Arabidopsis thaliana: one gene and its partners. The protein of the gene in region 1 interacts with the protein of each later gene in a pairwise test. Each region holds a gene or a part of one and is shown in the gene's direction. Other genes may lie near its edges. The genes, in order: AT1G53800, TOR1 and WRKY40.

The links.
Region 2: the proteins of AT1G53800 (region 1) and TOR1 interact in a two-hybrid assay, tested with the Arabidopsis thaliana proteins (one large-scale study listed by BioGRID).
Region 3: the proteins of AT1G53800 (region 1) and WRKY40 interact in a two-hybrid assay, tested with the Arabidopsis thaliana proteins (one large-scale study listed by BioGRID).

Annotation. Positions count from the first base shown.
Region 1 is NC_003070.9:20,078,047-20,088,450, forward strand, and holds AT1G53800 (muscle M-line assembly protein), read left to right. Parts: upstream 1-3,597; 5' UTR 3,598-3,841; coding exon 3,842-3,866; intron 3,867-4,121; coding exon 4,122-4,499; intron 4,500-4,596; coding exon 4,597-4,649; exon of another isoform or gene 4,650-4,659; intron 4,660-4,741; coding exon 4,742-4,779; intron 4,780-4,874; coding exon 4,875-5,193; exon of another isoform or gene 5,194-5,209; intron 5,210-5,280; coding exon 5,281-5,582; intron 5,583-5,655; exon of another isoform or gene 5,656-5,670; coding exon 5,671-6,274; 3' UTR 6,275-6,505; downstream 6,506-10,404. Other genes in the region: AT1G53790 (F-box and associated interaction domains-containing protein), read right to left, coding at 1,512-1,566, 1,652-2,837, 2,925-3,006, 3,286-3,348.
Region 2 is NC_003075.7:13,578,641-13,590,259, reverse strand, and holds TOR1 (ARM repeat superfamily protein), read left to right. Parts: upstream 1-5,009; 5' UTR 5,010-5,189; coding exon 5,190-5,912; intron 5,913-6,237; coding exon 6,238-6,429; intron 6,430-6,905; coding exon 6,906-8,387; intron 8,388-8,481; coding exon 8,482-8,679; 3' UTR 8,680-8,974; downstream 8,975-11,619. Other genes in the region: PDIL5-4 (PDI-like 5-4), read right to left, coding at 67-124, 274-368, 532-622, 711-866, 1,064-1,104; TSB2 (tryptophan synthase beta-subunit 2), read right to left, coding at 1,641-1,816, 1,908-2,002, 2,090-2,532, 2,608-2,964, 3,340-3,696. UniProt on the Arabidopsis thaliana protein: Plant-specific microtubule-associated protein (MAP) that regulates the orientation of cortical microtubules and the direction of organ growth. Determines microtubule organization by modulating microtubule severing.
Region 3 is NC_003070.9:30,377,959-30,387,623, forward strand, and holds WRKY40 (WRKY DNA-binding protein 40), read left to right. Parts: upstream 1-5,602; 5' UTR 5,603-5,875; coding exon 5,876-5,962; intron 5,963-6,372; coding exon 6,373-6,714; intron 6,715-6,809; coding exon 6,810-6,926; intron 6,927-7,035; coding exon 7,036-7,398; 3' UTR 7,399-7,541; downstream 7,542-9,665. Other genes in the region: AT1G80850 (DNA glycosylase superfamily protein), read right to left, coding at 7,649-7,918, 8,013-8,154, 8,244-8,327, 8,425-8,482, 8,885-9,314. UniProt on the Arabidopsis thaliana protein: Transcription factor. Interacts specifically with the W box (5'-(T)TGAC[CT]-3'), a frequently occurring elicitor-responsive cis-acting element.

The DNA of each region.
Region 1 (10,404 bases):
AGAAGAGATGATCAATGAGATATAGGAACTAACCTCAGAAACAGATAGCGAGAGAAGAAAGGTTCACGGCGGCGATCTTGGAGTAGTCGGACTCTGTTGCGACTGAGAGATTCTCGAGCAATGTCTTCGTACTATGGTAATTGGAACGAGTAGTAGAAGAAGTGATGGTCGATGAGATTTACGAGCTAACCTCAGAACCAGAGAGCGAGAGAAGAAAGGTGCACGACGGCGATCTTGGAGTAACCGGAAACTGTTGCGACTGAGAGAGATTCTTCTGTTACGCTTTTAGCTCTTCTTTACGCGCCTTAGGCCTCTAAATAATCCCTTATAAAAAATCATTCAAAATGCTATAACATGCGTGCTGTTTTCAGATAGAAGAGATAATAAAACTACGTGATGTTTTCAATTCATAAGTACAACCCGGTTTAGAGATGGTTTGTTGATGAGATTTAAACCGGAAATAAAACCGATATTCTCTCAACGAGGCTATCCCTTATTCGACGGTTGCGAGCACAGCCACCGCCAACAACCCGAGACCGGAGCCACCAATCCCGCAAGCCGGAGGAACCGTATCTTACCGCAGGACCTAACCCCATCACATGAACCGCCGTCGCTGAAACTCCCGAAAAGAGAAAGCGAGCACGAAATACCTCCGACGATAGCCGTCATCACCCCTCAGCTGCGGGATCCGCCGCTCGATTTCCGTCACAGGGATGATCGGAGCCGCAAACCCATACGCACGATTGACCTCGAGCCACCATCATCTATCAGCTCGGAATCAATAGAAGTGGCGACCGTGAGCCACCGTGAAACCCTAGCCAACTCCGCTTCGAGCCGGAGAAGAAACTCGGGGAGCTACGTCGATCTCCTCTAGTCATTTCTAAACTGCGATGAAGCAGGTGAGAGCCGCCGCCGCCACCTTCTACATCCTCCGACGATCGGGGAGGTGAGGAAACAAAAATCAAACTGACTTACGAACCAATGTAAATGATTATTATTGGGCCTTTTTGGGCCCATATGTTTTGTCTTACATAAAGTATAAGGTTGTTTTTACATAAAGTAGCTTAATGACTGTTATTACATAAGATGTTTCTTGTTGGCGTGGCCAAAGTCGAAACGAAGACAAGTATTCCTAAACAATTTAAAATACAAGAGAATTGAAAATGAAAAGCAGACTAGTATGACCAACAAAGGAATAAAATTATCCAATTAACCAAGTTAAAATGATGAACAATTTCCAATTACAATCCTTGGATTTGCCTAGGAATATTTTCAGAGTGGAGACAAAGCCTATCGAAGATCTTTAGCGTGGTGGAGGTAGAACTGTTTGTTGTGGTCGCTTCTGTGAAAGGATAAAATCTGCCCATCTATTCAGTTGTGGAATTGTCTGTGAAACTGCTAGCCATGAAAAGCTGCATAAATAATTTACAAGTCGTAAATGTTAAGTACTTAAGTTGATCCTTTGTAACTAATAAGAAAGTTACCTTGCTAGCTTCAGTGGCAGACTCGACTTAAAATAGCCTCCCTTGAGGAGAAAATGTGTTGAATCCTCTGTCATAGTCAGTCCTTGGAACAAAAGAATGTAAGATAGACACTTATCAACTGAAAGAATAAACTAGACCAAGTATTAAAACAATAGTTGAACACTTACATAAGTTTAAAATTCTCAACATAGCCTAGAGAGGTGTAAACTCTCGTACGTTTGAACATTTCAACATCTTGTATTTGAACTCTTGTGAGACTCTTGCTCTCAAGGTTGAAGTAATAAATGTAAAATGCGTATATTAGACAGTACTGTGACAACACAACTTCACCTCCATCAGTCATTCCAACAATGGCTAACTCCGTATGCTGAACTAAGTTGTTCCACAAAGGAGGCAATGCATAGATACATTTGGTCCATATATTTTTCTCAGCATTTACTAGAACCCAGAACCTAAGACGTTTTGGAGACAAACATGTAAACTGAAGTGCACCTAGTTTACCCTTGTAGTTGATTAGAGTACAAGAGTCATTCATCAACATGAATACATGTATGTTGATAAAGCTAAACTTTTCAGACCTCACATCAAAGCACACTACCATAGAAACCCTTGCCCGCATATCGAACCCAGCTGTATAATACAAAATACCATCTATGCATATTCCATCAGATTTAGGATAATGGGGTTTGCATTGGATTGTTCTCCATAAATGGTTTCCATTCTCCAATGTCAAAACTTGATGCTCATCACACGTATTTGGGATATCATCAGACTTGATGCACAATACCTTTAGCTGTTTGCGGACCGGATCATATCCTAAATAAGGTCTTGTCTCAGTATTAATACTCTTCAGTTCCACTTTGGGTAAGGATACGGACTCTCCCGTGACTGGGTTACAAATTACCATAGTATCTAGATTTCTCTTACCTCGGCGACAGATGAATCCACAAAGAGGAGAACCAATTTCAGAAAAAGAATCTGTGGTATGTTGAACATGATAACGGGTGGGTACAAGAGACGTATTCTCGTTACATGGAATCTGAGGGTGAGGTGAAGAGAAGAAGAACAAATTGCCATCATCATCTTGGAAGGTGAAAAGAAGCAACGGTGGACGAATCGAAGACATAGTCATGAACAACTCCTTGAAATCAGGACGACAAAGTATGGATTCCCAGAGTTTGGATACGCAACGAAACCTAGCTATAGACTTTGCAGGAACTCTCGAAAAGATATCCATGAGGAGATCGATCGGGATATATCTAAAACAGGAAACATAACCCACCTGGAGAGGTTGCCCCTCTTGCATCATTTGCTTACTGAGAGGAGCTAAACCAGTATCAGACTCCTTGATACCTGCAAGTTACCCGTATATGCAATTTAATCATTCGGTAAATAGAAGTCACTAATGAAAGTAACACCACTATCTCAGTGTGCACAAACCACATAGATCGTTGATCTTCTCGGTGAGTTCCTTAATTTCTTTCTCCACTTTCTTGATAGGTGCAGAGTAAGGCACTAACCCCTGCGAAGGATTGAGATTTTAACAAGGTCAGCAAAAAAACATATGGAGACGCAACATATCAAACCAAGTATAACTATGAACGTTTTTTTTTCACTTGGATGACTTATTCAAACAGTGAGGCAGAGTCACCCAAAGCTAGTTAGTCATATAAGCACAAAAATGATCTAAATAGGATCATAAAATAGCAATTAGCTCGAAATTACTCATGAGAAAACATCAAACTGGTTCGCAAAGAAACAAAATACAGCAAAATTTAGGGTTCTAAAAGGGTACACTTACATAAGTCTTGACGAGAGCGATATCATCTTCGTCAAGCGGATCGTCTACAATATCTCTCACCATTTTTTTTTTTTTTTTCGGATTTTGATCGGAGATTTGAGATGTGAGAAGAAGAAATCGAATTACACCAACAAGAGTACCAACTTTGTCCGAGTTATTAAGGTCTAGTAAGTAAGGGCCACGTTAGGTGCCTTGTTGGAGAGGCCAGAGAAAATAATACCACGTGTGAATTGGGCTATGAAACGCGGCCCATTAGCCCAATATGCAGTGATCCGGGTCGGGTCATTAGAGCGAGCCGGGTCTCGTTATCCATCGCCTCCCTGGTTGCTGCGTCAAAGCCAGACACAAGTATCTTCGTTGAAATTTGCTTTTTGTGTGGCTTATCCTTGTCTGTCAAATTCCTGCAAAAACTCTCGCCTCTCTCAGACAGTAAGAGGAACATATTTCCTTAATGTATTGTTCCGTATAATCTTACAAGACATCCTGGTTGGTGTTGCAGAGAAGAGTGTTTCAAAGTTTCTTCCTTTTTCGTTTTCCTGGTCTGAATGAGCTCCCAATGCCTTCTTTAGGTACCTTTTCTGGTAAAGTTTCCAGATATTTACCTCTTAATTTTCTGGGTTTGTGTTTGGTTACTGTTTAGAATTCTACTTCAGTATTGAGACTCTCTTTCTTCTCAATTTTGTTTCTTTTCTATTGGATTTCATCATTCTTGAGTATCAATTATTTGCATTTGCAATCTTGGTCTAAATGCGTATAAGAAAAGACTAGTGATTCGCACAGTATCTAGAGAATGTTTACTAGCTAATGGAGATGACTCTTTGGTTTAATCTTTGCAGATATTGCTACTATCCAACCTTCATTTCAAGCTCATCTTGTTCCATTGGGGGCTCAGAGTATTATCCATGCTAAAAGTCTACCTAATCCATGGAGACAGTCTTGTTTCTCCAAGAATTTGAAATTTTACACGGGTCATAGTCATGTCCGAAGAGGAAAAGTTCTTATTACTGCAGTGGCCACTCTTGAAACCAAGTATCCGGCTCAAAAAGAAAACGAACGGAGCTCTTCTTTGTCTTCTGCTTCTTCGAAATCCTCAAATGGAAGTGCTGATGATGGCGAAGAACAAGTGGATGACAGAGAAAAGTTGAGAAGGATGAGGATTTCTAAGGCAAATAGAGGGAACACTCCTTGGAACAAAGGCAGGAAGCATAGTCCAGGTGAGTAGTTTTTGCTTATTCGTATCTTCAGCAATCTATCTTCAGTTGCTTCTAATTGGAAACATTTCATAATCTTTTTTCTTTTGCGTTTATGCAGAGACCCTACAGAAGATTAGAGAAAGGACAAAGATTGCAATGCAAGACCCAAAGGTGATGTCATGTAAGAATGGTTCTATATGTTTGCTCTATGCATCAGAATTTTCAACCCCTCATAGAACCTTTGTGTCTTTGTCCTTGTGCAGATCAAGATGAAATTAGCGAATCTTGGGCACGCACAAAAGTCAGTACCGGTTTTTCGTTTGCTTTTAAACCTGTTGGAGCTTTTGGTTTTTGTTATCATAATACTATCTTCCCAAATTTGCATGATTTTTACAGCAAGGAGACACGGATGAAGATTGGAGAGGGAGTGCGGATGCGATGGGCAAGGAGGAAGGAGAGGAGAAAAGTGCAGGAGACATGTCATTTCGAGTGGCAAAACTTGTTAGCGGAGGCTGCTAAACAAGGATATACAGACGAAGAAGAGCTTCAGTGGGATTCTTACAACATCTTGGATCAACAGAATCAACTGGAATGGCTGGAAAGTGTTGAGCAGAGGAAAGCCATTAAAGGAGCTAAAAGTAACAGAAGAGCGCCAAAATCTCCTGAACAAAGAAGGAGAATTGCAGAAGCAATAGCTGCTAAATGGGCTGATCCAGTAAGTTGTCTAGTCACTTGATCAAATCAAACTTGTTTGATGTTTTGTTCTTGGTCATATTTAACTCAGTTTGCTTTCTCTTATCAGTCTTACCGTGAAAGAGTTTGCTCCGGCTTGGCAAAATATCACGGTATACCTGTTGGTGTCGAGAGGCGTCGTAGAAGACCAAGGAGCGATGCAGAACCTAGAAAGAAGACTCCTACAAAGAAAAGTACAAGGGATTCAGAGTTTGAACGTCAAAGCCAAGTTCAAGTGGTGAAAGTAAGGAAGCGCAAAACACCTGCGTATAAAGATCCTTTGGCAAGTTCAAAACTGGAAATGATCAAAAGCATCAGAGCAAAACGAGTGGCGGAAGAATCAAAGAAGATGGATGCTGTGGAACGAGCAAGGTCAGTACACTTAAAACAGAATTGTTAATATTTCTCTGTTTGCAACTGTGAGCAGAAGTTAACAAGAATTAACCTTTTCTCGCCTCAGGCTTTTGATCTCGGAAGCTGAGAAAGCTGCGAAAGTCCTCGAGATTGCTGCTTTGAAAAGCCCGGTTGCTCAAGCATCGTTGTTAGAGAGTAAAAAGCTCATAGCAGAAGCAACACAACTGATTAAATCTTTAGAGATGAGGCAGATAGCTTCAGATGAAGATGGGACTTACCCATTTCTTCTTTCACCTCAGCCTAATGACAGTGAATCTGAAACCAAAGATACAAACGATCAAGAACGACCAGGAGAGATTAATGGAACACACACATTGCAGATCAACGGAGAGAGTCTTCACATGAACATGAGATCTAACGATTTACCGACTTTCGTTATAGAAGGTACTACAAACCAGTTTGTTTCTGATATGGAATCCAACACATCCCAAGGAGGTAGAGAAGATATCAAACTCGGGATAGTTGGGCAACCAAACGGAACGAGAGTCCATCCACCAGCAGAGTCTAATGGAGCTATCAGTCTTGCTGAGAATCATCCTCTTCCAAATGGTTACCACGGGATTGACGAAAAGGCTGCATCTTTGGAATCAGGAAACGTAACGAAGAAGTGGGTTCGTGGAAGGCTCGTCGAAGTCACAGAAGCAGCCTAATGTCGTAGCAATTTAGCAGAGAAAAGTCATATTTTTCAATTAGTAATTCAAAATTTTGGCTTATATATTGGTCTTATCTCTTATGCTTGAGAGAAGCAGTTTCCAGTTTGTGATGTGCCAATTGTATCTATAACTCAATTGTATGTCAGAGTTTCAGCTTAGTAAACAATTCTTCATAGCTTTCCGATTATTAAAGAATTAACCAAAGAAATAAAGCAAAGAGAACTACCAATAAACCTCATCAAAAGATACCAGACCAAAAAAAAGAAGAAGACAAAGATCGACAAAGATCATGTGAGTTCTGTTTGGAAGAAGTAAACACTTAGATAAGCTTCACATCCTCTACATAGTTTGTAAAAGCCTGAATCCTACACCCACGAAAATTTCTAAAAAGTTGATCTTCAAGTTTTACAATGGTGATGATTTTGCTCTCGAGATTGTAGTACAAAATGAAGAAAGGATGACGACCTCCTATAAAGATTGGGTATAACACAAGTTCGCAACTACCAGTCATTCCGGCAGGACGTACATGACTGGGTTTCACGAGCCACGGATAAGATATTGCGTAGATATACTTTGACCCCATTTATTTTTCTTGGCATCCTCCAAAACCCACAACTCCAAAAGATTAGTGTTAATATTAAAACTACAAGCACCTAATTTACCCTTGTAGTCGATCAACGTTAAAGTGCAAGAATCTATCTTTACTGCTATGTCATCTTGATCAATGTTGGTAAAACTAAATTTCTCAGACCTAACATCAAAGCAAACGATGGTACCTTCCCCCTTATAGATCATTGCTGGATAATACAAAACACCATCGATGCATATCGCAGTATTTATCAGCACTAACAACAGAAACGACATCACTTCTGGTTTTGGATCTCTGAAGAAACTGCCATTGGGCCGTGAGCCCACCAAGAAATCTCCTTTGGGCCACGAAATGTCAAAGCCGAAGCCCATGTCGCAGCAACGGTCTTCTTCTCCAAATACAGACAAAACCAGAGCTGGCACCATGACGTCTTCGAGCTGTACGAACTCTGCTTCTCCCATAAAACTCAGCAATCGATTCTCAGCCCTTGATTCAAGCTGATGTTCATCTATCCGTTCAATCTTAGGGTTTCTTTATGTTTGTCCCTTTGTATAAATAGTAAGCTTAAGCATTGTAAAACATTTAAGCCGTAATGCAAATCAAAGCTTCAACTTTCGTTTCTATGTTTTGATTTTGCCTTCATGGTATCAGAGCTCATGGAAATAAGATCCATGGCGCCGTATACTGTCCCACCTCTCAATATTTCCAACTGTGTCACAGTCACACTCAATCAACAGAACTACATCCTTTGGAAGAGTCAGTTTGAGAGTTTCCTGTCAGGACAAGGGTTGCTCGGGTTTGTTACCGGCTCGATCTCTGCTCCGGCGCAGACTCGTTCTGTCACACACAACAATGTCACTTCTGAAGAGCCGAATCCGGAGTTCTATACTTGGCATCAAACGGATCAGGTTGTTAAATCTTGGCTCCTTGGTTCTTTTGCTGAAGACATTCTCAGTGTGGTGGTGAACTGCTTCACCTCTCATCAGGTATGGCTGACTCTTGCCAATCATTTTAACAGAGTCTCTTCATCTAGATTGTTTGAGCTGCAACGAAGATTACAAACTCTAGAAAAGAAAGATAACACAATGGAAGTTTTTCTTAAAGATCTGAAACACATTTGTGATCAGTTAGCCTCTGTTGGTAGTCCTGTTCCAGAGAAAATGAAAATCTTTTCTGCTTTGAATGGTCTTGGAAGAGAGTATGAGCCGATTAAAACAACCATTGAAAACTCTGTTGACTCCAATCCAAGTCTGTCTCTTGATGAGGTTGCTTCTAAGCTCAGGGGCTATGACGACCGTCTTCAAAGTTATGTGACTGAGCCTACTATCTCTCCTCATGTGGCTTTCAATGTTACTCACTCAGATTCTGGTTATTACCATAACAACAACAGAGGTAAAGGACGGTCAAACTCTGGGAGTGGCAAGAGTTCTTTCTCCACCAGAGGTCGTGGTTTTCATCAACAAATCTCCCCTACTTCTGGGTCTCAAGCTGGAAACTCAGGGTTAGTGTGTCAAATCTGTGGAAAAGCTGGTCACCATGCGTTGAAGTGTTGGCATAGGTTCGATAACAGCTATCAACATGAAGACTTACCTATGGCTCTTGCTACAATGCGCATCACGGATGTCACAGACCACCATGGACATGAATGGATTCCAGACTCAGCTGCTTCTGCTCACGTTACCAACAACCGTCATGTCCTGCAACAGTCTCAGCCTTACCACGGTTCTGACTCTATCATGGTTGCAGATGGTAACTTCTTGCCCATTACTCACACTGGTTCAGGTAGTATTGCTTCTTCTTCAGGTAAGATTCCTTTAAAAGAAGTGCTTGTTTGCCCAGATATTGTTAAATCTTTGCTATCTGTTTCTAAACTCACAAGTGACTACCCTTGCTCTGTTGAGTTTGATGCTGATAGTGTTCGTATAAATGATAAGGCAACCAAGAAGCTGCTGGTAATGGGAAGAAATCGTGATGGTCTCTACTCGTTGGAGGAACCTAAACTCCAAGTCCTCTACTCCACGCGTCAAAACTCTGCAAGTAGTGAAGTGTGGCATAGACGCCTTGGCCATGCAAATGCTGAAGTACTCCATCAACTTGCTAGCTCAAAGTCCATCATCATCATTAATAAAGTTGTGAAGACTGTGTGTGAAGCCTGTCATCTAGGCAAGAGCACTAGGCTTCCTTTTATGCTATCTACTTTTAATGCTTCTAGACCTCTTGAGAGGATCCATTGTGATTTGTGGGGTCCCTCTCCAACAAGTTCTGTTCAAGGATTCAGATACTATGTAGTGTTTATTGATCATTACTCTAGATTCACTTGGTTTTATCCCTTGAAATTAAAGTCTGACTTCTTCTCAACATTTGTCATGTTCCAAAAGTTGGTCGAAAATCAATTGGGACACAAAATCAAGATCTTTCAGTGTGATGGTGGTGGTGAGTTTATAAGCTCTCAGTTTCTGAAGCATCTTCAAGATCATGGGATTCAACAAAACATGTCATGTCCCTACACTCCTCAACAAAATGGTATGGCTGAAAGAAAACACAGACACATTGTTGAATTGGGTCTGTCAATGATTTTTCAAAGCAAACTGCCTCTGAAGTATTGGCTAGAGTCTTTCTTCACTGCAAACTTTGTGATAAACCTCTTGCCTACTTCATCTCTTGACAACAATGAGTCTCCATATCAAAAGTTATATGGTAAAGCTCCTGAATATTCAGCTTTACGTGTCTTTGGGTGTGCCTGTTATCCAACTCTCAGAGATTATGCCTCTACTAAGTTTGATCCAAGATCTTTAAAGTGTGTTTTTCTTGGATACAATGAGAAGTACAAGGGCTATCGTTGCTTGTATCCTCCAACGGGTCGAATTTACATTAGCAGACATGTTGTCTTTGATGAGAATACTCACCCATTTGAGTCCATTTACAGCCATCTCCATCCTCAAGACAAAACTCCTCTTCTTGAAGCTTGGTTTAAAAGTTTTCATCATGTGACTCCAACTCAGCCTGATCAATCAAGGTACCCTGTCTCTTCTATTCCTCAGCCTGAAACTACAGACTTGAGTGCAGCTCCAGCAAGTGTTGCAGCAGAAACTGCAGGTCCTAATGCTTCCGATGATACTAGTCAAGATAATGAAACTATCTCAGTGGTGAGTGGCAGTCCTGAGCGTACGACAGGCTTAGATTCTGCTTCTATTGGCGACAGCTACCATTCACCAACTGCAGACAGTTCTCATCCTTCACCTGCGAGGTCTTCCCCAGCAAGTTCTCCTCAAGGCTCACCGATTCAAATGGCTCCTGCACAACAAGTCCAAGCTCCAGTTACAAATGAACATGCTATGGTTACAAGAGGCAAAGAAGGAATCTCTAAACCAAATAAGAGATATGTTTTGCTCACCCATAAAGTTTCAATTCCTGAGCCTAAGACAGTGACTGAAGCTCTAAAACATCCTGGTTGGAACAATGCTATGCAAGAGGAAATGGGAAATTGCAAAGAGACTGAAACATGGACTCTTGTCCCATATTCACCAAACATGAATGT
Region 2 (11,619 bases), on another chromosome or scaffold:
ACAAAGAATTTTCAAGAGCAACAGAAAAGAGATAGAGACTTCAACTTATGATGAAACCAAACTTACAGTTCCTAATACATCACTGACATCCACAGATGCGAATTCACATGAAAGTGACGGGAAGCTGTCAAAAAATAGAATCTGTATCTGGTTAGCAATCAGACAGGTGCTGAACTTTGCATGACTTTAAGTAGGCCACACATATGACATTCTGTTAAAAATATTAAAACTATAAGACATTTGTATTGAGAAACAAAATTGAGTATAATGTACCTTATATTAAAATCTAAGCGCAAGAAGTCTCCGTCAGCGCTCCTGTCAACAATGACCGATGTGGAAGTGCTGACAGCCAAATAATTATTCAACTCCTGTAATAAGAAACTTACAAAGTCAAAACAACATTCATTTTTCCTAATAGTAACAAACGGAGCAGTTAATATAAATTAAGGACAAAATGAAACTTGAACAATCGGCACAGAATGGTCAAAATCATCCACATAATGACAAGTCCAGTGAGCTGGTGAAACTTACCATTCCAAATAGAAATATCATAGAGAGGGCTGCTATAATGGACAATCCAGCACCAGACAGAGACGCCTCTGTCAAATCCCTCGGGATTTTCCTGTAGGCACAGAGTTTCCAAAGAATATATATGAAATTTGAAGTACTGTATTATCGTCCACAATCACAAATCTCAGATTCCATTGAACTTTGAAGCAACTCTCTTAGCAACAATACCGAAATCGAAGTGACTAACGATCATCTTAAATCCCAGAAAATAGCATCTAAACAGCTCAATATCACTAAGATCAAAAGACAATGACAATGCACATACACGAGAGGCAAAACCTACAACTTCAGGATCGCTTGTCCACAACTAAACCCTATCACTAATGAGTAAGAAAATCCACAAAATGTTGATTCTCCCCAAGTAAAATTCATAGTAAACTACCACTACAAATCCAAGTCACATGCCTAGATCGATGAAATTCGAAATCTATATAACAGGAGAAAGAAGCTGGAGAAATCTGGGAAAAAAATACACAAAGTAACAGACATAAACCTATAGAAATCAACGGATTTGATCTTGCTCGTGGACACCATTTTCGTCGGAGAGGGAGTCAACTAAGAAACAACAGCTGCTTGGCTAAGTTCTAAAAGCTTCGAGGACGAAGCACCTCCCTTGTGATTTATCTTCAGCGTTCAGATTTGAAACTCCTCCCCAATCTACTAAATTACAACACTAGCCCCCTATGCTTTGACCCGTTTCCCATTTAACCCAAAATAGTTTCTATCAGAACAAATTAGTACAAACAATACACAAGTTTGAATTTACAATGATCACCATTAAAGAGCAGAGTTGTTTATAAATCATTCGATCAGAGTTGTTTTTTCTAAGCATTGGTGAAATTAAGATATGAAAGGGAAAACCAGCTAAGTCAAGAACAAAACAGTTCGAATTGCTTATAAGAACATCAAACGTTCCATAGAACATTTTTATTTATATGATACATTCATAACACTTATTCTCTTCTTAACCCTTTGATCCAAACTTTTGGATTCCCGACCATAAGCAAGGAGAACTAACAAACTACATAAAAGAAATAGCACTGTGTGAAAATGAAAGTAATCTACACTCTTTAAACTTCGAGATACTTGATTGCAGTCTGAACATCCTTGTCGCCTCTCCCACTGAAGTTTAATACCACTCTGGCTCCATCAGGTAACGTCGGACAAAGCTTCTCCAGATGGGCCAATGCGTGCGATGTCTCCAATGCCGGGATTATTCCCTCCAACCGAGACACTCTCTTGAAAGCTACACGCATAGATTAGAATACACAATGCAAGTTCTCATGAGTTGTGAAAGAAACATCTAAAAGGAGAAAAATGAAGTGTCAAGTAAGTACCTTCTAATGCTTCTTCATCAGTAACGCTAAAGTATTCAGCCCTTCCCACGTCTTTAAGGAAACTATGCTCAGGTCCGACTCCAGGGTAGTCCAATCTGATAACATCAACTTTTACTCTTTAGATACAGGTGACCAGATACATGTGGCTTAAAACCAACTTTGAACAGAGAAGAATCTCTTACCCGGCACTGATGGAGTGTGGTTCAATGATTTGGCCATCATCATCTTGCAGCAAGTAACTCATAGCTCCGTGGAGTACACCGACATCTCCTTTTGTCAATGTGGCAGCATGTTTGCCGCTGTCCAATCCAAATCCAGCGGCTTCCACACCAATCATTCGAACCTCTGTGTCATCGACAAATTCATGGAAGAGTCCCATAGCATTTGAACCACCACCGACACAAGCAACCAGAACATCAGGCTTCCCGCCCCATTTCTCCATCGCTTGTTTCCTTGTTTCTTTACCAATCACCGCGTGAAAGTCTCTGACCATCATAGGATAAGGATGAGGACCCGCAACGGATCCCAATATGTAATGTGTAGTCTCCACATTGGTCACCCAATCCCTTATAGCTTCAGAAGTTGCGTCCTTTAAAGTGGCTGTTCCAGAGTGGACTCCCCTTACCTACAAGCATCAGACTTAGATAACAATTTGAAAGCATTGCGATTTTGCAAGGTTTACGCAGAGAATTCACATCACCTCAGCACCGAGAAGACGCATTCTGAACACATTAAGAGCTTGTCTCTCCATGTCTTGAGCACCCATGTAGATAATGCACTGCAAACCGAAACGTGCACACACAGTAGCTGTGGCTACACCATGTTGACCAGCCCCTGTCTCAGCAATAATTCGTTTCTTTCCTAGACGCTTGGCGAGAAGAGCCTGAGCCACAGCGTTGTTGATCTTGTGAGCACCGGTGTGGTTCAAGTCTTCCCTTTTGAGGTATATGAGCGGCCCTTCACCGTTTTCACGGCGGTAATGCTCCGTGAGCCTCTCTGCAAAGTAAAGAGGACTTTCCCGACCAACGTAGTCTTTCAAGATCTCTGCTAATTCTCTCTACAGATTCATCAAACATTAGTTAGACATTGCCCAACAAACGAACTAACCAAAAAGACTTCTAACTTACATCACACAGAAGCATGTAATGCTGAAGAAACTAAGAATATGAAATGAATGTCGTTTCCAGATTTCTGGAAAAATACAACACTTTCCCAGAATTACATCCTACATCGCAAACAAATCGATTTGTCCCATACGGCTTAACATTGTTTGGCAGATTATTTTTTAGAATTGGAACAAAAAAATCCGTTTTTTAAACTTTATCACTAGCCATGGCAATGACAACGCTTGAATCAGAAACTCACAAAGCCAAATCATTTCGAATCGATTCAAAAACTATGAACAAGATGGAAACAAAATCAGCAGGCATACCTGGAAATCTTCGTCGGTGGCGAGCGAATAGAAAGCCGTTTCGAGTTCAGAGAGGGCGTGCATTAGAGTTTCGGGGACGTACTTGCCGCCAAACTTCCCGAAACGACCGAATGAATCAGGTCGTTGCCACATAGTCGGATCAGATCCAGCGGCCTTAATCTTCTCCGAGTCCGCCATGACAACAGCTGGGTCCTTAGCGATGGTGCAGGAGACGGAGAACGAAGAAGAGGACCGTGAGCGAGCCGATGGCAGAGGCGTAAATTTGGGGAGTTTGGAGGGTGATCTCAGATGGGTTAATTCGGAAGAAGCTGAAACGGAGGAGGGTCTGAAAGTAGCAGCGGTGCTTGCGGTGGCCATTTAGTGAATCTTTTATCTAGCTTTCAAACACGAAGACAAATGTTTTGCTGACAAAAACCTTGAAAGTGAGGGTTCTTTTTATAGATTCGTTATGTAACACTTAAGTTTTTTGACCAGAAATTCAATAAAATAGTGGAGGAAATCGGTAGTTCGGTACCACGTTAACTTATTTGTGAACAACAGAAAATGAGAGAAGAGTCAGAAGAGGTTGGTGAGAATAGGGCGGTGTACATTTTGGGGGTTGGAGTGTTTATCACATGCCTAATTTTAGTGTTATCTATTTTCTTTTGGTAAACGTCCTCTTTGGACAAAATGACGTATAGCAGTTTTTGCTAATATGATTCAAAGGCTTCTAATAGTGCTAATGAACGACGTACTACTACTCGTTTTGTTTTTGGTGGAGTTGATAAATAAAAGGATTACAAAGACATGTACTTATGGTTAAATTAATACAAATGAACTAACTATATAGTTTTAGTTTAATTTCATGATTTTTAAACGTTTTCCAAAACTTTATTAAGTTTCTTGTATTTTTTATTTTGTACTTAAAATAATAAAATGTGGTTGATCTTTTAATGACCAACATGCAAATAGTCAAAATGACACTAATCGATTACATATTCGAACCAAAAAAAATAAATATCAAATCGGTAAGGTTTGTCTCTTATCGATTTTACCGTCTTAACTTGTCATTTAGGCAGACCTTGTTGGTCCGATGAACCACCAGCCTCTGATCCATTTATGATTTACACACGTGCATTAAACACCAGACGAAGGCCTTTGAGTCGTTGAAGCTAAAAAATGAATGGTATATGCATGCGGACTCACTCGGAAGCCTCTCCAATGTGCATTGCTCGACTCTAACTCCAACAAAGTGTACGTAACGTAACAATCTTAACGACAACCTAAACAACTAATAGCAATCACAATTCCTTAAAGCATTCGTTAGTGTACCATGTAAAATTCCTTGAACCATTCATTATTGACTTATAGTACCATGTAAAAAATTCCTTAATCCATATATCAAGCCATGTTTTTGTACAAGAAACCAATTTGACATTTTGAATAATTAGATTCTTTATTTTTATTTTTTTTAACTTAAATTTTGAAATAAAAATTAACAATCCATAATGTAGAACGTGATGTCTCTAAATTTGATAATGTCCGAACTTATTTGCATGGATGTTTATATATTACACTAGAACTCGTATTATTGATTATTAATTTAAACGAAGTATCACGAATTTAAACTATATTTTCATACTTTGTCTTTCACACCCGATTTTCCGCGACAAATGCAAAATCCAGATACTGAAAATTATGCAATATTAAAATTTGAAAAAATTGAAAAAGTGAAATACTAATAAAATTGAGCGACACATTTCTGATTCCAGTCTTAACTGTTACACTTTCGAGTGTCAGATCTCGTCTTTCTTCTCCAACTCGTCTATCTTCTTCTCCGATTAATCTAATCTCTCGTCGGAGATTTAGAAATGAGCACACCTACAACTTCCGGTTCGGCGGCGAAACCGACGAGACCAGCACGGTCGTCGAGTTTAGCAACTAGGTCATGTTCCAATTCCGGTTCCCTCACTTCGTTCCAAGCAATGGTGGAGCTGAAGCAAAAGATCCTTACCTCAATCTCTAAGCTCGCCGATCGAGATACATACCAGATCGCCGTCGAGGATCTCGAGAAAACTATTCAATCTCTCACTCCCGAAACCCTACCGATGTTTCTCAATTGTCTCTACGATTCGTGCTCCGATCCGAAACCTGCAGTGAAGAAGGAGTGTCTCCATCTTCTCTCCTACGTTTGTAGTCTCCATTGCGATTCGACGGCTGCGCATCTCACTAAAATCATCGCTCAGATAGTTAAACGGTTGAAGGATTCTGATTCTGGAGTTAGGGATGCTTGTAGAGATACGATTGGTGCTTTGTCTGGGATTTATCTCAAGGGAAAAGAAGAGGGGACTAATACTGGTTCAGCGTCGTTAGCGGTGGGTTTGTTCGTTAAGCCATTGTTTGAGGCAATGGGAGAGCAGAACAAAGTGGTACAATCTGGAGCTTCAATGTGTATGGCTAGGATGGTTGAATCAGCTGCTAGTCCTCCAGTTACTTCTTTCCAAAAGCTTTGCCCTAGAATTTGCAAGCTATTGAGCAATTCCAGTTTCCTTGCTAAGGCTTCCCTTTTGCCAGTTGTTTCAAGTCTCTCTCAGGTTTGCCCAGAATCCTTATAATCTCCTCCTTGTCATGCTATAGACAGCAAATGGAAGAATATGGTGAATTTTGAATATCAGTGTCAGTAAGTAGAACACAAAGTTTTAGTAAATAACACTGCTTGAGGTTTTAGTCTTAATCCGACACTTTTTCTGTTAGGTGTTGCTGAAGTTTATTGTTTGATTTGAGCATACAAGTCTCAGTGAAATTTTGAGGGGTTTAATATCTCTCTCTCTCTTTACTTCTGGTAGTTCAATGCTAGTAGGTTTAGTGGTTAAATCTGTTTATGAAAAAGAGAAGTAAAGAGCAATTACTTTGATTCAGGTGGGAGCCATTGCACCTCAGAGCTTGGAGTCATTGCTAGAAAGCATCCATGATTGCCTTGGAAGTACAGATTGGGTAACACGAAAAGCTGCGGCTGAGACCCTGACTGCATTGGCATCACATTCAAGCGGTTTAATTAAGGAAAAAACCGATTCCACCATTACCGTGCTTGAGACCTGCCGGTTTGACAAGGTAGCTATCTTTTCTTTCTCTAATTAATCTAATTCCACTATTATCGTGTTTGAGACACGTCATTTTTTACAAGGTAGCTACATTTTTCTAGTAATCTAAAGTGGTCCTGTAGTGAAGTAAACGTAAACCCCATAAGCTCTTCAATTCCTTGTAAATGTCATCAGCAGCTCAGACATATCTGTTAGTGGTTGATAGTGCTTTTGGACCTTTCTCCTCATTTGCTATGCTGATGAAACGCACAAGCAAGTAGCTTGAAATTCTCACGAAGCCTTACCTTTTGATTTTTGACTACTATATGATTTACATATCTCAAGAATTTTCAGTCATCTATAATTTTTCTTTCACTACTGAGCATTGAAATGGCTGGATGTTTTATGAAATGGATTATGGCTCTCTACACATTCATCAAAATTCTATTACTTAGGACATGGAATGATCTTCTCAAGACACTTTACTGATGGAATTTTCTTGGACAGATCAAACCTGTTAGGGAAAGTGTGACAGAGGCGCTGCAGTTATGGAAGAAGATTTCTGGAAAATATGTCGATGGTGCTTCAGATGATTCAAAGCTTTCAGCTAGTGAGCAGCTTGGATCAGAGAAGAACGGGGAGAAAAGGTCTAATCTAGCTGATCTAATGAAAAAGGAGGCATCCGATGGTTCCACTCTCTCACCAGACTCTGCTTCTAAAGGAAAAGGATGTTTTCCTGAAAAAGCAGTAGGACTGTTGAAGAAGAAAGCACCTGTCTTAAGTGATAAAGATTTTAATCCTGAGTTTTTCCAAAGACTAGAAAGAAGGCAATCCGTGGAAGTAGTAGTTCCTCGTAGATGTAAAAACAATGATGAGGAAGAATCAGGACTCGATGATCTCAATGCCATGGGATCTTCAAATCGCCTCAAGAACACCCAAGCAGATGATAAACAGGTAAAAGGTAGGTTTGATGGGAACGGATCACAAGCAAGGACATCTGGTGATGATAAGGCTGGTGTTGTAAACGGAAAAGAGACACCTGGACATCACGCTCCTGTCTCCAATACTGATAACCAATCTGAAGGATCCTTCACAAGTAATAGAGGAAATTGGTCAGCCATCCAGAGGCAGTTGTTGCAGCTAGAGAGACAACAAACAAATCTTATGAACATGCTCCAAGAGTTTATTGGTGGCTCACATGACAGTATGGTGACCTTGGAGGGCAGAGTAAGGGGTTTAGAAAGGATTGTTGAAGACATGGCAAGAGATCTTTCGATATCATCAGGTCGTAGGGCTAATCTCACAGCTGGGTTTGGCAAATATAATAGTTTTGCTAACTATCCAACTGGAAAGTATAATGGTCGAGCTCCAGGGGAAAGAGGCTCACAAACAGATGGAGCTATGAGGGGGAGAATGTGGAATTCTGACATGGCAGATGACTGGTTCATACCTCCACATGCTGCTTCCAGAAACGGACAAGCCGGGCCAAGAAGATCACCTCGGTCAGAACAATATGAGAATGAGCACATGGGTAATGGCAGGAGAGGGTGGGATAATAAAGCATCTGGAACTATTAGATTTGGTGAAGGCCCTTCAGCAAGAAGTGTGTGGCAAGCATCAAAGGATGAAGCTACACTTGAAGCTATTAGAGTAGCCGGCGAGGATGGTGCAGTCCCTCGTCCAACCCGAGTGGCTGTTGCCCCTGAAGCTGAAGCCATGGGAGATGATGATAACGAAGGGCAGGAACGTGACCCGATATGGGTTTCATGGAGTAATGCAATGCACTCACTCCGTGTTGGTGACATTGATGCTGCTTACGCAGAAGTCCTCTGTGCTGGTGACCAGCACTTGGTCATCAAGCTGATGGACAAGACGGGACCTTCTCTTGACCAGATGTCGAATGAGATTGCCAATGAAGCTCTAAACTTCATCTCTCAGTTTCTGCTGGATCATAGTCTCTACGACATTTGCTTATCTTGGAGTCAACAGGTACATCTCTTACAGTACATTACTGGGTTCCAAGAATCACACATATGTTTTGTCTTTAACCTCTCTTTCTCTCTTTTTGCCATTCCATTTGCAGCTGTTGGAATTGGTTTTACAAGACGGTGCAGACACGTTTGGAGTTCCAATGGAACTGAAGACAGAGATCTTGTACAACTTACAAGACGCATGTTCGACTATGGATCCACCTGAAGACTGGGAAGGTCCTGCGCCGGAACAGCTCGTGGTGCAGTTGGCATCAGTTTGGGAAATCGATCTCCAACAGTTCGACAAGTAAACATGAGCTTGTGAACGGAGCTTTAACTTCAGTACCGTTGTTGTTCATAATTTTCGTACAGACAGGATTCAACATCTAGACTCTAGAGTCTAGAGTTTGATTTTTCTTATTAAAAACCCGTAAAAGATGACTGGAATTGATCAAATATTGCTATGTATTTGAGTTTTACAATATTTTGTCATTCTTCCTTTTGCTTAATTGAAAAAGCCGGAACTTTGAAGAACAAATAAATAAGACAGAAATTATTTTAAGAATATCATTAATAAATCCCTAATTTTATAACAGACTTTTAAAATAAAGTTTTTTGTTTTTGTTTTGGCCAGACAAAATTAATTAATTTATAATATGATACGAGTTTGAGACAATTATCCATTTAACTTTTTTTTTTTGGTAATCATTGATCCATGTAAATTTTAATGTTTTTATTTTTGTCAAATTGGAATTCTCGACATAGAAAACAGAAACAATTACAAATAGTTTTTGAATGTACACAATTTGCATGAGAAAAAAATCAAGAAATTACCTAAAAATAATAGTGTGTATATAAATAATCTTACTTGGTTTTGAGTTCAATCATCTAGATATGTAATTTTGTGAGATGCCAATACATTCATATATATAAATACGCATTTTCTTATCTTATACACACTACTCTAAGGCAAATAGCCAAATACCATCCACGCCAATTGATACATTCAATAGTTTTATATGTCATTGGTGTATATAGAAAAAAAAAATGTCATTTGTGTATATCAAAGCTTTATCTAAATGAAATATTTTCCTTAAAAACTGTATAATATATTAAAAGATTTTATTAATTCGACCATGATTTCAGTATTGTATAAATAAGTTAGGTTTTTTTCCCAACAATTCGATCTATTATAAAGCTTATTCATATACTTATTATGCATTAGTTTATGTATCGCCTTCCTACACTGAACAAAGGGGTGGAACAGGTGTAGGAATTCCAACAACTCCTGAAACTATATTCTCTGTTCTCCCATGGGAGCTCGGACCAGAATTCCACCAGCAACCTCTCGTTGACGAAGCATGTAGGAGCTGGACGTTTTTCTGTAAAGACCCTCCCAAAAATAATTACCCTACAATGGGTGAGACTTCATTGTACTGGAAAAAAAAAGAAATCCCATTTGATAAGGATTGATACATATGAAGTTTTTCATGCCATATATTCCCTCATTGCCAGTGTAATCTCAAAACCTCGAGGGAAACAGGGTGATTCAGAGCTTATCTATACTCCCACATGGGTGTGTATTTGTTCTGTTTGACTCTTAATGCGACCAAATCAACTTTTTGAATATATGACTTTGGCAAAAACAAATTTTTAAACTCCAACCCGTTTGTGAAATAAATAATAGAAATGATGAAATTACAGAGGTTGTGATAAACAACGGTTTAGTCTCATAGATGAGTCAGAAACTAGTGATTAGTAGTCACTAGTTGAAGAATTTTTTATCTTTCTTTTATTGTTACTCAAACTAGTGCTCCATAGTTGGCAACTGCTTTCATTGTCAAGAAAAAAAGTAGACCTCATTTAAAAGTTTTCATCAAGGTCATTCTACAAGAGTCCTACTACTAAAAAGATCCAATTATCGAGTCCCTGGCGTGTGTTTGGCGATTATGACTTTGATGAAAGGGTGTGAAGAGGTAACTCATCTCATATTTGTATAGCTATTTTTTGCTGGTGCAGAACAACACTGCACAATCAACACTCTGACATTTTAACATGATGTAGGTCATTGTGAATGATGAATGATCCATTCTCTTGGCATGCCGAGTTGAGGATGTTATATTTTCAACTCCCCGCCTATTTATCTTTGAAACCTATTGCAAAATTCACCAAAGGTTTGACATGGGGTAAGTTCCCACGTATTTGGTTGTATATGTGTCCACATAGCTCAAGGCTTGATGCCAAGATTGGAAGTGTAATCATGGAGCCTACTCAGCCCAACGTGTAAGAAGAATACATCTTAAAAAAATCTATAACATCATTCTTATCCTAGTCCTTGATGTTTGAAATTTATACAATCTAATCTCGTTTCGGCTTTATGCAGGCCTGAGCAGTTGACAAACCACAACAAAGGCTTACTTGTAACACACACAAGCGCAAGAAACTCGCTAATCAATTTTTGTTGTTGCTGTGGATTCCTTTCCTTGGTAAAACTCAGCTTTGCTTAACTCGAATCATTTTCTTGTTTTTGCTCTGAAAATTTACCTTTTACTTTTATTATGGAGGTGTTCTATCTGAAAGGTTAGATCCACACGTTGGAACATTCACCAACCAAATTAGCCTTTTGTTTAACCTTGGCAGTGCAAGCACAAATGAAACCTTTGGCATTAACCTTAACATCAGCTACAAATCCCAACTCTCCTACAACCACAACCATCACAGATGCCTTAGCAGATCGTAAGCTTTTTATATCAAATTCAATATTCTTCCGTTCTTTTATTTCTCGATCGCTGATTTTGTGCAATCTGATTCTCTACAAGTCTCAAACTTTTTCAAGATAAGTGGTAATCTGTTGGCAATGACTCTATCCTTTCAATGAATCTTTGGGGTTCTATACGTTAAGCTTTTAGTGTTGAGTACTCTCTCATTAGATAAGTTGTCGTGTTGCTTTGAGTATTGTTCATAACTTGTCAAACATCGATATATAATAGTGTTAGTTATTTATTGTTAATAAATATCAGTGAGATAAGATGTTTTTTTTTCTTTTCACAAAATGTTCTTTTTATTTAGAAACAGAGAGGTTCCAAACATTACAAAAGTGGGTACAGATAAGATGTCTTAGTGCTTGACAAATTTATTTATTGATGATGATCTTCAAGAGTTTCTGATAAAATCTACTCTCTGGGAACAGTCGATCGCATCCAAGCCATTTCGCTTCTCATTTTTGGTCCATTTGTTGACTATTTCTTGAG
Region 3 (9,665 bases), about 10 Mb from region 1:
AGTTATCACTATCACATGATGTACATTGTTACTGGACAATATATTAGTGAATTATAAAACTGGAAACATATATTTTAAACTATGTAAACTGGAAAAGACTTTTGATAAATTAAGTTATCTGATAAAAAATGAATCTACTAATCGAGAGAAGTACTAGTATTTTGTTTGGTTATTTAGTCAACGGGAAAAAGGGAGAAAAAAAAAAAAAAAAAATTAGTCAACGTGAAAATTTGACTGATGGCGTGAAACTGCGAGCGAGTATGTGAAATTCCAACTTTTTAAATGGTTGGGCTTTATATGTGAACGTTTATGGGTTTAGTTCAAGCGAGTAATAAATGAAATATATGGGCTTTACATATTGAGCAAAGAATACCCGTAACACACGCTGCTTATTTTCTGTATACCCACCATCAAATTTTGAAACGACGAGTGATACAAAATACAGTAGTTATATCATTTTGGTTAATAACAAATTCTATTTCGATATGAATGAAATGAAGCAATCATTCTTAAAAGTTTAATGCTTAATGGTGGGGTGTAATCCGATGCAAGTCCGTGTTGGGCCAATTTTTTTATTTAAGCTAATTGGGCTTAGTTGAATTGAATTGTGTTAATGTGAAATGAGCCATAATTGATTGGCTGAGCTTGACAGTGCACTAGATATGCGATAGCTTTTGAACATCGTTATTAAGTTTTAGTATTTAGACCCATCACCTGTATTATTTAGTTGGAAACCAAGAGAACTAGATAACAAAAAGAAAAAACAATTTCGTTTGTTAGTCATATGTTTTTTTCTTCTTAACTACTGAATATGAAATAGTTGATAATCTTATCACAGTTTTGCGAGACGTGTATAGAGATACAATAATTGTAAAGGATAGGAGTTTCACGTGTGAATATATGCTACTTTTTTCAAGTGTGCAAGCCTAAGGCTAAAGGGTAAAAATGAAATACATGTTCATAATTTTGATCGGGGAAGACAACTGGCCGAAAGAATATACTTACATGTTTGGATTTTTTACCATTCATATGCAATTATTTGTAGGTTTAGATCCAAGGGACCATGCTATAACAACGCAATGGGATCATACAATTTTCTTTTCTTTCATGTAAGTTCAGTCTCCAAGCACGTGGAAGTAATATATTCGTCAAAGTTTAGACTTCAATTACATCATGTGGAAGGAAAAAAAATTGATAGGAATAGTAGTATGAAACTACGTGTAATATTTTATTAGATACACGTTCGTGCGCTGAGTTATCTAATGAATTCATCAGGCGAATAATTCTTGGACAGTCCTTTTTGTTTTGGTCGGCCATCTAGCAAGACTAGTAGTAGACTACCATAAAGAAAACAAAACTATTTCAACAAAACAAAACAGACAAGTGACAAAAAAAAAACGTAAAGCCAAATCGAAACCATCGGAATAAAAATATTATTCTACAAAATAGATGTCAAAGAAAACGTGTAATTCACGGATACGCACTGTTACTCTGATGGCTAAGAGTATAATAATAGTATTTGAACACATATGAGTACATTTTGATGGCAACGTATATTAGTTGAAGAGTCTTTCATTAGATTTATGTCCCCATATGCAATTGAGTTCCACTTCTGTTTTATGTTAATACACAATGAAGTTTCTATAGATTTTGTTTTTGCAAAAGGAAATGTATATGGTATTTCAATACTCTATCACAACTATAAATAGAGCAAAATTGTGTATAACTATTATGCAGCCTTTTTCAACAACCAATGTAAAAACGAAGTACTAACTACTAAATTAGGAGTAGGAGAAAAGTAAAACAATTCGCAAGAATGGAATCTAAAATTTGGGATTAGTCTTTGATTTTCACACTTGGTCATAAAAATTAAGTGGACATGGACATTGAAAACGAAATCCAAAAGACCATTTCGAAAAAGAGGCAAGAAATTATATAATAATTAATATTTAATAGACAACACATGTTTTAGACTTTTACTAGTTCATGAATCGTACGGCCTTTTTTGTTCCTTTAACTAAGTTCAATGCATCCTCTAGTAGACACCTACTGCTTAACTAACCAACATAAAAAAATATGATTAATTCTCCCCGAATAGTATTGTTGTGTTACTTTTACACAAATTGAAAAAAAAGTAAACGACAGTTATTAGTTATTTTAAAACGAATGAAACATTATGTAAAAATATGTCAAATTAATATGCTTAGTTAATTAGAGAAAGTCAAGACTTTGCAAAAATGCATCCAAAATTAAACAAATGTATACCCGAAAGTTCGAGTGTGAATTAGTTCTGTCACTAAAATATTCCGTTTAAACTCAAGTCTTATAAAATGTACGGATATTATACCTTTTGTTTTCTCGAGCTTATTATACCTTAAAAATGTAAATTGGATGAGGATATTGAGGAAAAAAATAAGACTTGGAAAGAAATATTAGTAAGCTTTTATTAAAAAAAAAAAAAGAAGAGATAATTCAAGACCTGAAGAAGACAGGCACGAAGTAGCTAGGGGAGGGAATGGGGAAGTAAAACCAAACCACTCGTGCGTTGTGTGTTAGGATTTTCCCGAGTCAACGAGGTCAACGGTCAAAGAGGTCAAAGTCTTTAAAATACAGGAAAGGAATTGTGCTTTCGTTACTTGCTTTCTTACGTTCTTTCTGTCCTTTGGAGGAGAATAGTTTTGTTTTTGCTTTTGTTGATTTTTCTGTCCACTTTGTATATATTTTTTTTTTTTTATGACTTCATCACCTGTGACGTCTAATAATTCCATCACCGACTGCCCATTTCTTTTCTTTTTATTGTCTCTACAATTTCGATTATATTTTTTGGTCGGCAGCCAGTCTCTTCGTTCTTCTTTTTTTTCTCTGGACGTCCATTCCCAACATGCATAGTGTTTGACACAACAATATATGACAGCTAACTTTTAAGTATAATTCGAAATGAACTAAATCGTTGATTATACATAAGTTTAGGTTATGAGTTTTTGTCTTTTGCAATCTATTAATTAACAATTGGTTTGTGACCAAATTGTTCGTTGAGTGTTGTAAGAACCAACCTATTTCAATCAGTTTCTTAAAAAAGGAAAGGGAAGGCAAAAAAAAAAAGAACTATTAGCAGCCTTACTTTTCTATGATAATATTAGTCAGTAGGGAAATATATATATATATATATATATATATATATATATATATATATATATATAATTTGGACCGACGACTGATTACAATAACTGTTAAAGCTTAAACCGGCGGAACTTAATCTTATATAATTAATATGATTGTAATTAGCTGTATGATAATTTTATGTTGTTAATGATGATGTATTACCTTTTCGCTATAGGGTTTATAGATTACATCTATACTTCTGCATACAATTAGATATTAATAAAGTTATAAAAACAAATTAAACTGAATAATTGTGTGTGTGTTACGTTGCATGTGTTATTAGTTATGGAGAAATATGATTTACGTCTTCTGAAATGCTATCAACGATTGGTTTCAGATTTAAAGAAACTATCTGACCAAAATCCTGAGATATCTTAATTAGATATATCTATTTAAACTTTCAAGTTGTTATATGTTAAACAGTAAATGGCGTTTTCCGTATTACTCATCTAGTAGATCGTAGTAAGTTATATACGTTTTTACAATGAAAGGTTTCGGCAATGTAAGTTGTATACGTGGTACGAGTGAGTATCCATACTTCTACCGGAAAGAATAGAGATCAAGAAAAATGAATATAATTAATAAAGCTCTACCGAGGAAAAGAAGAGTGAAGGATAATGGAGAAAAATAAGAAAAAAGATGATGAGATCTGAATTAAGATTTTATTATTCACAATTACAAGAATAGGTACAGTCCTGGTTTGTGCTAAACCAAATTCGAATATCAAATATAAATTACTTATAGGTTCGACTGTAAAATGAGATATGAAAGAAAGAAATAATATATGATGATGTAATGCATGAGAAAGTCCAAAATGATCGGCATATGGGATTAAGCGATTCCATATAGTTAAGTCAAGTTACTATTTCAGATAAATGGATAAGTTTGTCGTCTATATGTTCTGTTATCTCCAAACCCAAATCTATAACATTGCGACATTTTTGAATCGTTAACGGCAAAATAAGTGGGGAGGGGGGGGGGAAGGAAAAAAGGAAGGACACTGAGATTTTGATAAAGTTCGGTAGCCAAATTTGTGCATGACTTTTAAGAAAATACGTATGCTGATCCAAAAACAAACAACTAAATAGATTTTAGTTTGAGAAAATCGAAGTAACAAAATTATTATTTAATATATAGTGTGAGAATTTAACAGCTACTAATAATTATCATAACACGAATTAAGTGTAATAGTAATATATGTAGGAAAATGGTTTAGCACCACTCACTTGATTAACTCGACTTAAACCAAATATAAAGTAATATTTATAGATGTAGTTGGTTGTATTTTTGCAAGCTTTGGTACTCGATATCTAAATTTTTAATGGAAAAATTAGTCGAGTGGTAATTCGTTATATATAAGAAAATATTTTGTTTGTAATTGTGCAAACTTTAGCATTGGACATCTAACTATATTCTGAAAAATCAGCGGAATGATAAAAGTTCGGATTTTCCTTCTTTTTATTTAAGTAAACATAATTGGTGTTCTGAAAACCAAAAGAAGGAAGAAGGCAATTAAGATTTGTTAAAGTTCGTCACGATATTGATGTCAAGAAAAAAGGAAAAAAAAAAAAAATCGTCACGATGGTATCGTCAATTTGTCTAGTGGATTTTGAAAAGCCGTGTGGGCTTGACTTTGACCGAACAAGGCACACGTATACATCTAGTACTACTGAAGAAATCTCTCATTAGAACGCAAACCACGTTCCGCACACTCTTAATATACTATTAGTCTATTACTATCACCAACTAGTTGTCATTTTTTTTGTCAAACGTGCTAATTAATTCACAAATAGAAGTATTAAACTTCCTAATTAAGCACGCCTTTACTACATTTCATTATTATTATACATGTAATCAACCATTTCTTTTATCCCACATGTCATTTGTAGTCCTGATTTTATGACTTTATGCATCAAGTTATCTTTTTTTTTGTCACTCCATGCATCAAGTTATCTAAACAACATAATTATTGTCTGAAAAATCTAAGATGATATACAACATATGTATTTAATTACACATTAGGCTTGTTTAACAATTCTTGATTATTTTTACTCTTTTTGGGTGAGTTCTTGATGGATGTCTTGAATTACAAAACTACATATTCTGAAAATATTAACCTTGAGTTTAGGCCGGCTATGCTATAACGAAAAATAAATAAAAGCAACTAACCCGACAGAAATGTCAACCAACTATCCAAAATGAAAAACAAACGTGGAGAGCGTCATATTATTAGTAGGCCAATCACACACCAAATGTTTGTTTAACAAAAAAAATAAGAATGTCAACCAACTATCCAAAATTAAAATCAAGAATACATTTCATATGTTTCCAATATGTTTTTCTTAAACAAAATTGGGACTAAAGATTGGACCAAATACGTGTGCGGGTGGACCCGATAGAAGCCGAGTTGAGTCTAAAGACTAAAAAGTAAACAAAAAATGATAAGACCATCACTTAGTTTATTGCATGAAAATGAAAAGCACATGCTCCTCTCTCTCTCTTCTGCCTCTTTCCATCTAGTTTCCTCTTAAAACTCCATTATATATAGAAACAAAATCTTTTCTCTCTTCAACAATCCCACCATTAAAAAAGAAGAACCCAAGATCGACTCTTACTTCGAATCTCTCTCAACTTTCTTCCTCAGCTTACGGGAACTTCCACACATATACATCCACAAGAACCCATATCGAAGATTCATCCTACATATATTTACATGGATCAGTACTCATCCTCTTTGGTCGATACTTCATTAGATCTCACTATTGGCGTTACTCGTATGCGAGTTGAAGAAGATCCACCGGTACGCTTCTCTCAGATTCTTCATTCTCCACATGTTCAGAAATTTTCAATTATCATGGAGCTTTTTAATCTAGTATCTCATCATTATGTATTATACACTTACATTTTTCAATTCGGTTGGTTTTGAAAATATATAAACTAACTCAACTATCCATAGACATTTTTTTCAGATGTATAATCTATAAACATAGATATTTTCTTATACTTCACAAATATTTTTATATATAATTGGCATAAACTTTAACAACAAGAAAAATTCGTTAGTAATTCATGTGGTGGGTTCTTGAAATATAGATGTAACGCTAGATCATAAAATCATATTAAACTTATAGTATGAAGAAAATAATATGGTTACTAACTTCATGCAATATATATATATATATATATATATATATAAATGATAAATTGCAGACAAGTGCTTTGGTGGAAGAATTAAACCGAGTTAGTGCTGAGAACAAGAAGCTCTCGGAGATGCTAACTTTGATGTGTGACAACTACAACGTCTTGAGGAAGCAACTTATGGAATATGTTAACAAGAGCAACATAACCGAGAGGGATCAAATCAGCCCTCCCAAGAAACGCAAATCCCCGGCGAGAGAGGACGCATTCAGCTGCGCGGTTATTGGCGGAGTGTCGGAGAGTAGCTCAACGGATCAAGATGAGTATTTGTGTAAGAAGCAGAGAGAAGAGACTGTCGTGAAGGAGAAAGTCTCAAGGGTCTATTACAAGACCGAAGCTTCTGACACTACCCTCGTAAGCATTCATGAAAATGATCAAACTTGGTATCTATCTATCTTTAGAAACTTTATTTTATATGGTTTACTGATTGTAGAAGTTGTTTCTTATAGGTTGTGAAAGATGGGTATCAATGGAGGAAATATGGACAGAAAGTGACTAGAGACAATCCATCTCCAAGAGCTTACTTCAAATGTGCTTGTGCTCCAAGCTGTTCTGTCAAAAAGAAGGTAATTGATAAAGAAAAAAAACTGACTCTCGCTTAAAATATGAATTGGCATAATACAAATTTGATAGACTTATTAATCTGATTTTGATCCTGTGTTTGTTTCTATTCAGGTTCAGAGAAGTGTGGAGGATCAGTCCGTGTTAGTTGCAACTTATGAGGGTGAACACAACCATCCAATGCCATCGCAGATCGATTCAAACAATGGCTTAAACCGCCACATCTCTCATGGTGGTTCAGCTTCAACACCCGTTGCAGCAAACAGAAGAAGTAGCTTGACTGTGCCGGTGACTACCGTAGATATGATTGAATCGAAGAAAGTGACGAGCCCAACGTCAAGAATCGATTTTCCCCAAGTTCAGAAACTTTTGGTGGAGCAAATGGCTTCTTCCTTAACCAAAGATCCTAACTTTACAGCAGCTTTAGCAGCAGCTGTTACCGGAAAATTGTATCAACAGAATCATACCGAGAAATAGTTTAGCTTCAAATTCCGTTAGAGTTTTTAGATTTGAATTTGTCATGAGTAAGAGAAAGAGAGTAGATTATAATCCATTGTGATACTGAAAATGTAACATGTAATCGTTTTTCATACAATCTCCAATACATTCGGCTTTAGAAACTCCTCCTAGTTTGACAACAACAACAAAAATATCTGTACAAATGCAAACACAGCACAACAGCATCCTAAGCAGCACAGAGTTAAAACTATTCTCTCTTGGTTTTTCTTTAATTACCAGTCTCGTCCTTTGTCATGCAGTCATGGTGTCTGAAGCAGCAAGTGAGATGGTCGTTTGTGAGACCAGCTGTTTGCATGAACGAGTAAATAACCGTTGGACTTACACTGCGAAAACCTCTGCGTACAAGATCTTTGCTTATCAACTCGGCTTTCGAAGTCTTCACAGGGACTTGACGTGGGTACCGGAATTGGCTCTGAGTAGGTTTCTGGTTAACGAAGTTCCAAATGTACTTGTCAAATGATCCAAATGCACCTATTATCTGCATTTGAGAAAACCAATAACAGTAAGAAAAAAAAAGGTAATGTTGTTAAGAAACACAGAAACTATGATCAGGCTTATAGGTGATATATTACCTTGCAAACTTGGTTAGCATTCTCGAGGATTGACCGTAGCTTTTGCTCTGATAGTAACGTGGTGGCAGCAATCTCAGGGGATGTTATCTTTTTATTTGTTAATTCAGATATTGCAATTGGATCAAAGTCCATGAAAACCTCCCTGTTTAACACAAGGCAAAAGCATTTCGAGATTCGAGCTCATAAGGAGAAGTCAGAAGATGTAACCACAACAGCGTTGGTACTAGTTACCTGAATAGTTGTCTTTTGGAAAGAATGTCTTTCCAAGATAGTTCAGCAAGAGCACCAGACAAGCTTAATAACTCGAAAAGTCTCCTGCAAACAATTCACTGAATAAGAGAGTGTATAGTCCAAAAAAGCATCCCTCTGGTCAGTAAAACATAAGTCAGTATAAAGAGAAAATATCACGTACTTGTCATCATGGACAGGAACTCCCCATTCTTCATCATGGAAGGCAATGTAACATTGATCTTTTACAAGAAACAAAAAAAAAGAAAGAAAAAAAGTACCGGTTAGTCATAGCAGATGAAAAGATTCAAGCCTTTGGAAGTTAAGGCCTTAGCCTCATCGGCGTAGAGAAATGACAAAAACTAATCTCTACAAATTCCTGTTTCTGTGGTCATTGTTCAATAGAGATATGATCTGCCTGATCACAAAACATAGTCAAGATTTGCTCTCTACATTCACAAACTAACTTCCAAAGCAAGAGAATACAAATCTTTTAAACTATTCAACTTCTTTATGGACATTGACAATTCACCGGTAAAGCCAAGCATCACTAGTCTATGCTACTACATCAGAGTAACTGATAAGTGGGAACAATTGTATTCCAACAAAAAATGAAATGGATGAATCAAGAGAGATTGTATTACCAGATTTAGGGGTGATCCAAGCGCATCTTTTACGACCGTCACAGAAGCAATCACTAGCCTTCTCATCTCTCTCCTCCGTCAGATTTCTTCTCAGTGAAGAGGAAGAAGAAACTGACCCACTTCGCCGCAAAACCCTCTTTCCACTCGAAGTAGACGTCATACTTAACGGCGACGACTCGCAAGAAGACGACGCATCTGAAGAATACGAAGCAGTCATCGAAATACCATTACGTCTCAGAATTGGAGGGCTTAGAGGCGAGCATTGCGGCATTTTCTCCGTAAAGGTTAGGTTTTTGGTTTTCTCAGCCACAGGCTTCTTCACCGGCTTTGACAACGGTTTCTGCTGCAGCTTATTGCCGGCGGGACCAAGAACTGATCTGAATTCTCGGTCGGATGAATCCACAGACCGAACTCGCGGTGGAGCCGACATTGACCTAAAAGTCTCCGAATATCGAAAATGCCTTACTTCACTTAAAAACACACTGGATCACGACGACTAATGAATTGCAATTCCCCAAAAGAAAAAATCTCAAACCAATTCCAAAAGATTTACACCAATTTCGATAAACCCTAGAAAGAAAGGACCTGCATTTACAAACTTAAATTAAGGTCGTCACCTAAACTTCTTCTAGCGAAATCCCAAAGTAGGATCACGGGAATGAGTAAGGTTTACACATTCATAAGAAAGTGAAGATACATACAAAAGACTAATCTTTGGAAATTTAATGAGAAAATCCTTATTCTTTTTTTTTTACTTCGGCGAACCCAAAAAACAAAAATA